Nothobranchius furzeri: one gene and its partner. Each later gene encodes a partner of the first gene's protein in a complex. Links are inferred from orthologs where the notes say so. Each region holds a gene or a part of one and is shown on either strand. Other genes may lie near its edges.

Region 1 (4,514 bases):
AAGCTAACCTAAAAAGATGGGTCTTGAGTCTGGACTTAAAAACATGAATGTTCTCTGCGGCCCTGAGGTCCTCCGGCAGCTCGTTCCAGAGGTGAGGGCCATAACACTGGAAGGACGCCTCGCCGTGAGTGTGTGTCCTGACTTTAGGGATGACCAGGAGACGCCTGCCAGAGGAGCGCAGAGGCCGCGAGGGTTCATATTGTAAAAACAGTTCTGATAGATAAGAAGGCCCAAAACCATTAAGACACTTAAAACCATTAGAAGAACCTTAAAATGGATCCTGAAACATACGGGGAGCCAATGCAATAATTCTAAAACCGGAGTGATGTGCTCCCGCCTCCTGGTCTTCATCAGGACACGTGCTGCCGGATGTTGTAGAATTTGTAAGCCTGAGATGCTCTTTTTGGGAAGACCAGAAAGCAGGGCGTTGCAGTGATCTATCCTACTGGTGATAAAAGCATCAGCGTCTCCGTATTGGCCCGAGAGAGAATGGGGCGGACTCTGGCGATGTTCTTTAGATGATAAAAACCTATTTTGGTGAAACTTTAAATGTGTGGGATAAAAGTCAGCTCAGAGTCAAAAATCACACCCAGGTTCTTCACTTGTTCAGAAGGATTAAAAGACCGAGATTCATGTTCAGCTTTGAAATGAAGAACTTTGCAGAACAATACAGTTAAAATACACATAAACCTCTAACTCATCTGTGTGCTTTTTTCTTTAGCAAAGACCAGCTGGTCTTCTAGTTTTGTTCACCTAACCCTAACCCATCTGAAAACAACCCTTGAAGTACAGATTGGTGAGTTTGAATGAATGGTGCCAACTGGAATCTTTGAAATTAGACCAACTATTTTCCACATGAGCTGTAATTTAAACCCCAGAAAGTCTGAGTCTGGGTGAAAACGGTTATCTTTGTAGCATAAATGACAAAAGAATTAATTTTGCTTTCTCATAAATTGTGATATTTCATATCGTGTAGCTTTTGTTCAGTGAAGCATTTTGTGTGTTTTCTCCGTGAAAGGTGCAATAAAAATAATTTACTTATTTGATTACAAATGGAATTTTCAGATTTGTACATCAGAGTAATTCATATAAAACAGATTTATGCTTTGTCCCATCCTGCACTTCCTGAGATACAAAGTTGGATGTAATCTGTTAAATGGCCACTAGATGTCGCCAAACTCTTTATACATAATTTCGTGGCATTTTTTTGCAATAAATCTACATTTTTTAAAAATCCATGTCCAGCAGTTTTAAACTTAATGTACCATACTTTATCCCAAGTAAAATGGAAGCTGAGAAAAAATTACAACAGCAGTTTTATTTTACTAAAATTAATCTCTCCAAAAATATATTGATAAAAAAACCTTCAACAAACAGCTTAAGACAAATAATGCTTAATAAATCGAGAGTACAACATGTTTTTCCATCCTGTGACGTGAAGAGCAGCAGCATTTTTACAAATATTTAAGAGGTTTAAAGCTCATGTTTCACTGGGGCTGAAGCTGCAGGCTTTTGATGAACACAGTCTGCAGCTCAGTGATGTCCTCAGTCGCTTCTATTGGGATGCTGAGTTTCAGTTCGGGCTCACACGCTCCATCGTAGCCATATTGGCTAAAGTGGTCATAGCGGGAAAACGCACAGCCCCCCACAGCACCCTGAGGATGCTCATAGATGTCCAAGTGGTGCTGTGGGGAGAGGCGGTTCAAGGCCTGGCCCTGGTGTGACCCGTGGTAAAGGAGATGCTGGTGGTGTTCAGGCCCCGGGCTGTGACATGGGCTTTGGGAAGGGCTGTGGGGCATCGGGCAGGTCTGCAGGCAGCTGTTCCGACGCATGGCCCGGTGGAGGTCCAGTCTAGCGATCAGTGGCTTTCCTATGTTGACACTTCTGGACCAGTATACGGGATGATCGTCATCCATGGCTGCAAAAGTGCCCTGAAGGCACACGGTGAAAACCAGCTCCTCCTGTTACATTATATTAGGAGAGAAAATAGTTTTCAGTAAGAGAAACAACCCAGATGCTTCCAGAGCTAAAAGAGAACCTTGGAGCAAAGGAGGATTGTAACAAACGATTAAAAAATGGGTTTCTGGTGTTGTTGTTGTGGAAAAAAGAACTGTTATGAACTATAAGCATCTTTATCAGACTGCAGAATATCAAACCCTAATGCATACTGTTGTAGTTTTTAATAAGTAAGCCTTAGTGTCACAATTGATCAGTCTATGTTCTTTGTACCCGGAGCTTCTGCAGCGAGCTGAGTCTGGTGTACAGACAGTGCTGTGGCAGACTGCTGGACAGCAGGTAGATCCCCGTCTCCTCTGGAGTCTCTCTGTTCATCTCTTTAGGATCCACATCTAGATCCTGAAAACAAGCAGGGACACTTTTCAACCTCAAAACCTAATCGATCTTTAACGTTTACAAAAACCAAGAAATCACAACTGTCAGATGAAAATGTGCGACATCACCAGTGAGAAGTCCGTGACATGAGCCTGGCAGAAAGACATGTCCTCTGGCTTCTTAATGATGTGAGTGTAAATGACGAGAACGTTGGAGAACTCCGCAGCGAAGCCCAGCTTGATCTGAGCCCCGCAGTCAAAATGAAGACTCATCGTCTCAGGAAGTTCTGGAACAACAAGCAAACACTTTGGGAACCAGGTTTTAGTTGCTAAAAACAAATCATGTTTAAAGAAAATATTTTATTTATTTGTAATGAAAATTATCCATAATTAATACTAAAAACCAAAACCACGTAAAATATCAAATCTGAGAATCTACCAAGAAGCCACGCAAATAAATCGATTTTTAAACTCGTTTCCCCCAAAAAATTAACAAGAAAACTTCAAGTTTTCATTTTCCGGGATTCCAAAGGCTACTTTTTATTGGGAAATAAAAACGCATAAACATCATTATAGTTCAAGTCAAACTGTATTCTTTTAGTGGAGCTAATACAGCCACATATCAAGCCGAGTTTCAATAAAGGAGACGAGTTTTTCCTTCAGAAAAATGACTTTACTGCAAAAAAGCAACATTTAAAGTTTTAAATGTCAACATTTAATTTTAAAGTTACTTTGAAATGGAATTAATACATTTTTAAATCTTCAACTTAATACATGATATAAACCGAATAAAGATGTTTAAAAATAAATAAAATACCTAACACAGGAAGGAGAAAATCTCAATAGTTTTGAGAAAAATTGCTTTCACAAAAATAAAAAAATACGCTTTTGAAGGAATAATTTAGATTTAGGCTGTTGAGTGAATTCAACACTAAAAACTTAGATTTAGTTTTTAATATGAATCACTGACACGTTTATCTCCTCAGACTCCTGAAAAGCTGCAAATACGGTATCTTTAGTTTTGTGCGACTGGTTGGCTGAAACCCAAGAGTAGCTGAGTCATGGTTTACAGATTTGTTTAGGCAACTATTTCTAAGAATATGATGTTAATCTAACAAGCTTCATGCAACAGTTGAGCTGTTGAAGGAAACTCCCATGGCCGTGTGTCTTTCCTGTAAAGATCGATAACTGCCAACATCTGGCTGAGCGAGACGTGTTCAACCTCCGGACGCTGAGAACTGAAGATTAGCATGTTTTATGTCATGCTGTGTGTTTGCTAGTGGGCGTACCGTGAGCTTTGGCCCACAGCCGGCTGTGAGCGAGATCGGCGCTGTCGCCGGGCAGAATAGGATCGGTCAGCGCTCTCCGCTCTGCCAGACTGCTGCGGATCTCCAGAGCCTGTTTACCCTTGGTGGCATCAAACTGGCCCATATCTGGAGACGAGAAAACCGTGAATTGATATTATTAATAAGCACCTGAATAAAAGCCGCAACCTGCTTACTTTTCAAATGGATAAAAAGTTGTAAATAATCTGGGCCACACTCGTCTACAAGCCACAGGTGTCCACTTTTATATGTCCAGGTAACGTGCACAAATACGTAGAGTAAATGGGTTTTTCCAACATGTGCCTGTGACATGGCTGGTTAAAAATAAATAAATAAATAAATAAATACATACAGGTACAATAGCCTGCCACCTCCATCTTCCCACTCAGAAACAAACCATCCTCAGTCTCCCTTTTGCTGTCGCTGTCAGTATCCTTTTATAAGGAGGAATGGGACTGTTGCAGTACAGTAAAGTACTAATAATACTTCACCTTCAGCAACTCTGTCCAGCAGCACAGTGATCTTCTCATCCTCCATCAGCCGCTTCTTTAAAAACTTGACAAACACACCGTTGGTGAAACCCGTGGAGCTCAGCTCAAAGGCCTCAGCATCTTGGCACCTAAACAAAACAGACAAATGCGTCACGTTACGATTCTGAAATCTAAAATCGCAGAAGGAACTGGATTGTCTCAGACTCACGTTGCATATCCAAAGACGATGTTGGCTGTGACTCTCAGGACATTGTTTGGAGCGCTGTCGTCGTGAAAGTTCCTGGACAATAAATCGGTGAATAAAAATGATTAAAATGACGAGTGATCAGTTCAAAGTGCTGAAATACACGTGGAATTACTGACCTCTT
Region 2 (5,450 bases), on another chromosome or scaffold:
ACGATTCATGAAGAAATCACACGTTTAGTTAGAGAAGTAAAAAGCAGAACTAGTCTGAGGTGATATCAGAATGTCCAAACTTACAACACGCCGTTAAATGAAACTAAAAATGATCATACTGATACTCTTCATGACATAATGTCTATAAAATATTCTTTTTACATAGTTACTTTATTCAGGCCCAGTTTCTGCACATCTGCTTACACTGAAAGGTAAAAAAATACATATTTATGGTTTTTAAAGACCAAAGTATTATTTTTGCTCTAAATAAAAACAACGTAACAAGTTGGCACCAATTTCAAAAGACATCAAATGGGGATAATTTGGCCCTTTTTAATTGTGTTTTTGCATAAATAATTACCATCTCACTTCCGGTAGAAAGCTTCCTTAATGAGCTTTGTTTGAAGAAATAGATTCTGTTGGCTAGTTCTATCAATTTTGTGTTATGGTTATTTTTGAAAAAACTAAAATAAAATTAAAAAAAATTCCAGCCAAACTTCACCGACTGCCTCAGAAGTGCTACCTTTTGCTGGTGCTGGTACTATTCATGCTTGTAACAAACGGAGTATCTGAACTGGGGTATGTACTTGTATAGGCCTGAAGGTTCGCTGAACGGGGCTTGTGGTTATCTCAAGCTGATTGGAGTAGGAAATGACATCTGCACACGTCGCCAAAACAACCGGAATTTATAAAAGCAAGATTTGCTGGTGAAGCAGATGAAAAGGAAAATAGTAAACAACATTCACACCGCTTTATAAACGTTGTTTCTAAAGTCTTAACACTGAAAAAAGTGATGAAAATCCCCCGAACAACGTAATTCACGGCGCTTTGTGGTTTAACAGTGCAATGCAAAAAACTGTTTCTTCTGATAACTGAATGACACAATCTACAGGGTACTTTGGCACAATAAAATTCGTAATTTATTATTCTTATTGTCCGTGGACACCTTTTGGTGCTGATCAGTGACATCACCCACTGACGAAACGGTTGCGAAATCCTGAAAGGGCCAACAGCAGAGAGGACCGAGCCAGCCTATATCCCAGTCAAATTCCCCCTCCCAGAAAATTTGAAGGACTCTGATAGAGGGAACACGGCTATTGATCCAGAGATTTCTGTGTAGATACAAAAAGTAACACAGGCTTGTTGAAGATTATGAAAACGATAAAGTTTGGGAGCTGTTTTAAGAAGGCAGCCGTTCACTTTGATCTTGGTTGTTGTCCAACAAGCCGTTAACTCGAGTAAACAATTAAAAGCTATTTCTCCAAACAGAGGCTGATCGGGACACTTTCTAAGATCTATGATGATAATTATTAAAACATTTCACACAAACACTTGAAAATAACCAAAATACCCGTTAAAATGGAAAATTATGCCCTTTTTGTCCTAAGAACGTTGGCTAGTATAGTGGTTTGTACTATGTTAGAGCTACATGAGGCCAGTGTTTAAGAAGCGCTCCGTTAGTGGAATCCATCAAAAGTTTCAAAGCATGGCTCAAAAGACGCTTCTGTGTGATGTTGGGGTGAGCGAGCGTGATCGCAACGGTTGGAAATTCGGATCTCCGCCGCTGCTCGTGCACCCCGGCGTTGCTGCGTCTATGTTGGAAGGAGATTCCAGCACAACCTCGTCCGGCAGAGGAGGAGCTCCGGGGTCTCCCGGCTTCGGGAGGCTGGAGGAGGTTGTGGAGGAAGCGATTCCGATGCTGGCCCCGGACACAGAGGGCAGGTTTCCACATTTCCGTATCGATGGCATATTGAGTGACTCTGCCACGTCAGAGGTGGAGGAGCTTTGCTCTCCATCTGGGTGGAAGAGGATGGTGGAGTTGTTGGAAAATGTGTTGGGGAGATCGCTGCTGGAGCTCGGGGAGTTGAAGGCGCTGCCGCACGATGAGCTGGATTTTCCTGCAGCTGAGAGGCAGAAGGACATGAGACATTACTACCAGAGGCGCTAGATGCCAACAGGCAGGGCAGGCAATTGCTTGGGGCCCCAAGGCCTCAATGGGGTCCCAGAGGGCCAACAAACTATGAACCAAGTCAGAACTGCAACAGTAGTGAAACAATAAAAAGCATCTCACAATCCCTGATGGGGACCTCCCCCTTCCTTGTCTGACACCCCGCAGTTTAGTCAGAAAGCAGATATTTTTGGTTTGGGCACCATAAAAACTTTGAAACAATGATTTTTACAAGATGTTGCAGGTTTGATCTTCACTTAGCAAGGCTTACTAACCTCTGAGTGACTCTATCTTCTCATTTTTGGCCTTTTGCACTTCATCCGTGATCTTGGCAATGATAAAGTTTTGTGCTCGCATCTCTCGGATGGAGTCGATCAGGGCGTCCAGACCTCGTGGGTTCTCAGCCAGGATGTCCAGCAGCGTTGCAGTCCTCTTGGTCTGTGTGGTCCTACAGCTGATTTCCTCTGCGTCGTCTCGCGTAAGGATCCTTCGAGAACGCAGGTAGTCCAGGTGGCGGTCAGCTCGGATCTTATCGCAGAGGTAGTGCCGCAGTCTGGTCAGCACCTGCAGATGAAAGGGACGAAAAGCGAATATTTGAAGCCAAAAAGCAGGTGGACAACACTCCATGTTTTATTTTTTTTACTTCAGAACAATAGATATCGAGCATACATTCAATTTTAACAAAACAGCCTATTTAATTTAACTTACAACGTGGCTAAAGCCGCATTTCTGCTGTTATTGGTAGGATTTATTGTTTTTGTGGGTTCAGAGGGTGCGGTGAGATATTTCCCCCTTTAACAGGCCTCTGACTCGGATCATGGCGCACAGAATCACGTTCTTATCGAAACCGTCCCCACCTCTTTATCAAACTCATCCAGACTCAGAGCCAGCTGCTGTCTGAATGATCATACTCACGTCTTTTTTAATCTCTGCCATTTCATCTTCAGTAAGCTGAGCAGCATCCATCTCTCAAATCCAGGTGTTCCGGGTGAATTATGACGGTTTTAATCCGTTTTAAACGAAAAACAGTTCAACAAACGTCATAAAAAGTCTCCCGTAAGCGTTAAAGATAGGGATGTTTCATAATTCGTTGTTAAAAGTTGACACATCTATTGTCTCCTTCTCTTAATCACGGAAAATGCATTTTTAAAAAAGCCCCGGACTTCCTGATTGTGTCGATGTTTAACTACGTCAACGACAGAAGAGAGGAGTGCTCACACAACAAAGCCGCTCTCACTAAAATCTGACTTTTTCTCGGTAAATTCTAACAAAGCATATTAAGTGTAATATAAATGACGTATAATTGGCCTATTTTAATTGAAAGGGTAGCACCTTTCTTTGCTTTCTGCTGCTGACAGAGAAGTTTCGCTTTAGAAAGTTTCAAAGGTGACGCGTAGTTCTAACCAGCTCCACGAGGGGGTGCTGTTGGACCGCAGACAGGTAAAATCCCAGAAAAACTATCATAACAGAAAGGTACTTTTACCACAACCCATTCCCCTTACAGTTAGTTTATCTGGAATAATAGGGATAGTATATTACGCCAGAGAATATTATTTCTTTAGGTTTGGATATGACACAGTGAAAGGTTAACACTCCTGTTCCTACTGGAAATGATGAGTGTTTGTAGTAGACGTGATTTGGTAGCCTTGCAAGCCATCCTGCATGGGTAAATATATACGCAAAGGGCAAAATATTTTTGCTACTGCTATAGGCTTGTGATTTTAGATAAAAGCAGCCTAATCCTTTTTCTAGGAATTTCAAACCAGAAATTGTTACTGGTCTGTCCCCAGCATCTTCAGTTCACCTCCTTTGGACAGTATATATTCAGAATATACCACAACTTTCTACATTTTTGTCCATTTGCTCTTCAGTGTGATGAATCAATCACTTGAAAAACAGAAATCAATCTGCTGTCAGTTTTTCTTCATCAGCATCAATGATTGCAGTTTATTTTCTTTTTCCACATGTTTAATTAACAGAAGACAACATCTTAAACAAAACTAGACAGAAATGACACTTTAGTTTTCCAAGGAGAGGTTTTTCATCCAAATGAAAAGCAGACGGATGGCCGTCTGTCTCCCTTTTGATAGTTTTATACAACAATGCGAAAATTGAAGGGATGACCAATAACTGCTCTCATACTCCTGATTTCAGGAGGAAAGATGTTGCTGGAAGATGCTCTTTAGATGTCAGGAGTTTCAAAGGTCAGACTGGACGTGAATTGTTTTCTTAATAAAAGAACTTTTATATAAAAAACAGCACATGGTCTGTTCTTTACTACAACGTTCATGACATTTTAAAATATTTGTGCAAAATGTAAGAGAACAGGAGGGTAGAAAAGATGCACAAAGAGCCATGAGATAATTTTGTTTTACACCTGTGGCACAATGCATCCTATACCAGCAACAAAAAGCTTGCTACTACTGAGAATCACGTCTTCTAACTTTCTGAAACCACAATTTTGCATAATCTTGCCATTTTTACCCTCCTGTCCACCCACCTTACAGCTTTTGGCTGTTTTTAACACCCCCGTGTGTGTCACGGAGTTCACATGCACTTTATGCAAAACAGCAAAAATGTGGTTTAAACTTCCTCTTTTGCCTTTCCCCTCCATGATTTTCATGTAAATGGCTCCTCAGCACATCTCAGGTGAGACATTTTAATTATTCCAGGAAGGCTCATATAATCCAGGTGTCTTTGTGGCCCTGCAGCAAACCTTCACATTGAATTGAAATGTTTCATCTGCCTGTCTCATGTCCAACATTCCACTCAATTTACGTGCTTCTGAAATTTTCTAACATAACATCTTTTGGTGGGAAACGTTTCCCTTCCAAACCACTACAGTCAGCGATTTGCAGACATAATTGGTTCACCGAGTTCACGCTTGTTCGCCCTTTATGTGTTTGGGCTGGCACAGACTCTGAAGGACTTTTGTAACCGACGTTTGAGACAAAAATTCCTGCTTTAGTTGATCATTTTCTTTGATGCTGATCCTTTAATTGAATTGAAACCTGTGAAGTTCACTACGGAGAGGGTGTGGCTCCAGGCAACATTTTACTGGATTGAATGTCCTCCTTTAATCTGGATTTCTCAGGTTCAAACATTCCCTCGAGTTCTTGTCTTCACTTTGAAAGTCTGAAGCACTAATGCAGATTCTAATCCACCCACACCCTGGCAGGTGGCTCACTGGAATTTGCTGAATGACACAAAAGCCCATCGCATGCAGCAGTCTAAACAAACAGAAATATGTAGCTTTCCTTTTATATATATATATATATATATATATATATATATATATATATATATATATATATTAACAGAAGGGTCTGAGCTCACACAAACTGATGATGGAATATTTTATGCATCAATCTAAGACTTTTGTCCCTTATGTTTTTGCACAAACAGAGCAGAGAGAAAGGTAAAAATAAACCCATCATTTATGAGAAAGGCCTCTGGAAAAGGAAAAAGTGAATTAGACTCACAAGTATTTGTCACATTGTGT

Evidence for each region. Proteins that work in one complex are often made in the same cells at the same time.
Region 2: the proteins of malt1 (region 1) and bcl10 are in contact, whole or in part, in a cryo-EM structure (PDB 6GK2), measured with the Homo sapiens proteins. The link is inferred for Nothobranchius furzeri from reciprocal best matches to the Homo sapiens genes MALT1 and BCL10. Residues at the interface, in NP_006776.1 of Homo sapiens: Asp46, Gln47, Ala48, Pro49, Trp54, Arg55, Leu74, Glu75, Ser78, Leu79, Val81, Leu82, Glu83, Pro84, Glu85, Gly86, Pro88; in NP_003912.1 of Homo sapiens: Leu13, Lys17, Val83, Arg87, Asn93, Gln97, Thr100, Leu104, Arg107, Asn108, Leu111.

Annotation. Positions count from the first base shown.
Region 1 is NC_091757.1:57,789,207-57,793,720, forward strand, and holds the end of malt1 (mucosa-associated lymphoid tissue lymphoma translocation protein 1), read right to left. Parts: coding exon 4,510-4,514; intron 4,427-4,509; coding exon 4,355-4,426; intron 4,275-4,354; coding exon 4,147-4,274; intron 3,764-4,146; coding exon 3,620-3,763; intron 2,618-3,619; coding exon 2,460-2,617; intron 2,356-2,459; coding exon 2,230-2,355; intron 1,962-2,229; coding exon 1,488-1,961; 3' UTR 1,299-1,487; downstream 1-1,298. UniProt on the Homo sapiens protein: Protease that enhances BCL10-induced activation: acts via formation of CBM complexes that channel adaptive and innate immune signaling downstream of CARD domain-containing proteins (CARD9, CARD11 and CARD14) to activate NF-kappa-B and MAP kinase p38 pathways which stimulate expression of genes encoding pro-inflammatory cytokines and chemokines.
Region 2 is NC_091751.1:48,595,815-48,601,264, reverse strand, and holds the start of bcl10 (B-cell lymphoma/leukemia 10), read right to left. Parts: upstream 3,339-5,450; 5' UTR 2,915-3,338; coding exon 2,864-2,914; intron 2,513-2,863; coding exon 2,224-2,512; intron 1,905-2,223; coding exon 1,492-1,904; 3' UTR 1-1,491. UniProt on the Homo sapiens protein: Plays a key role in both adaptive and innate immune signaling by bridging CARD domain-containing proteins to immune activation.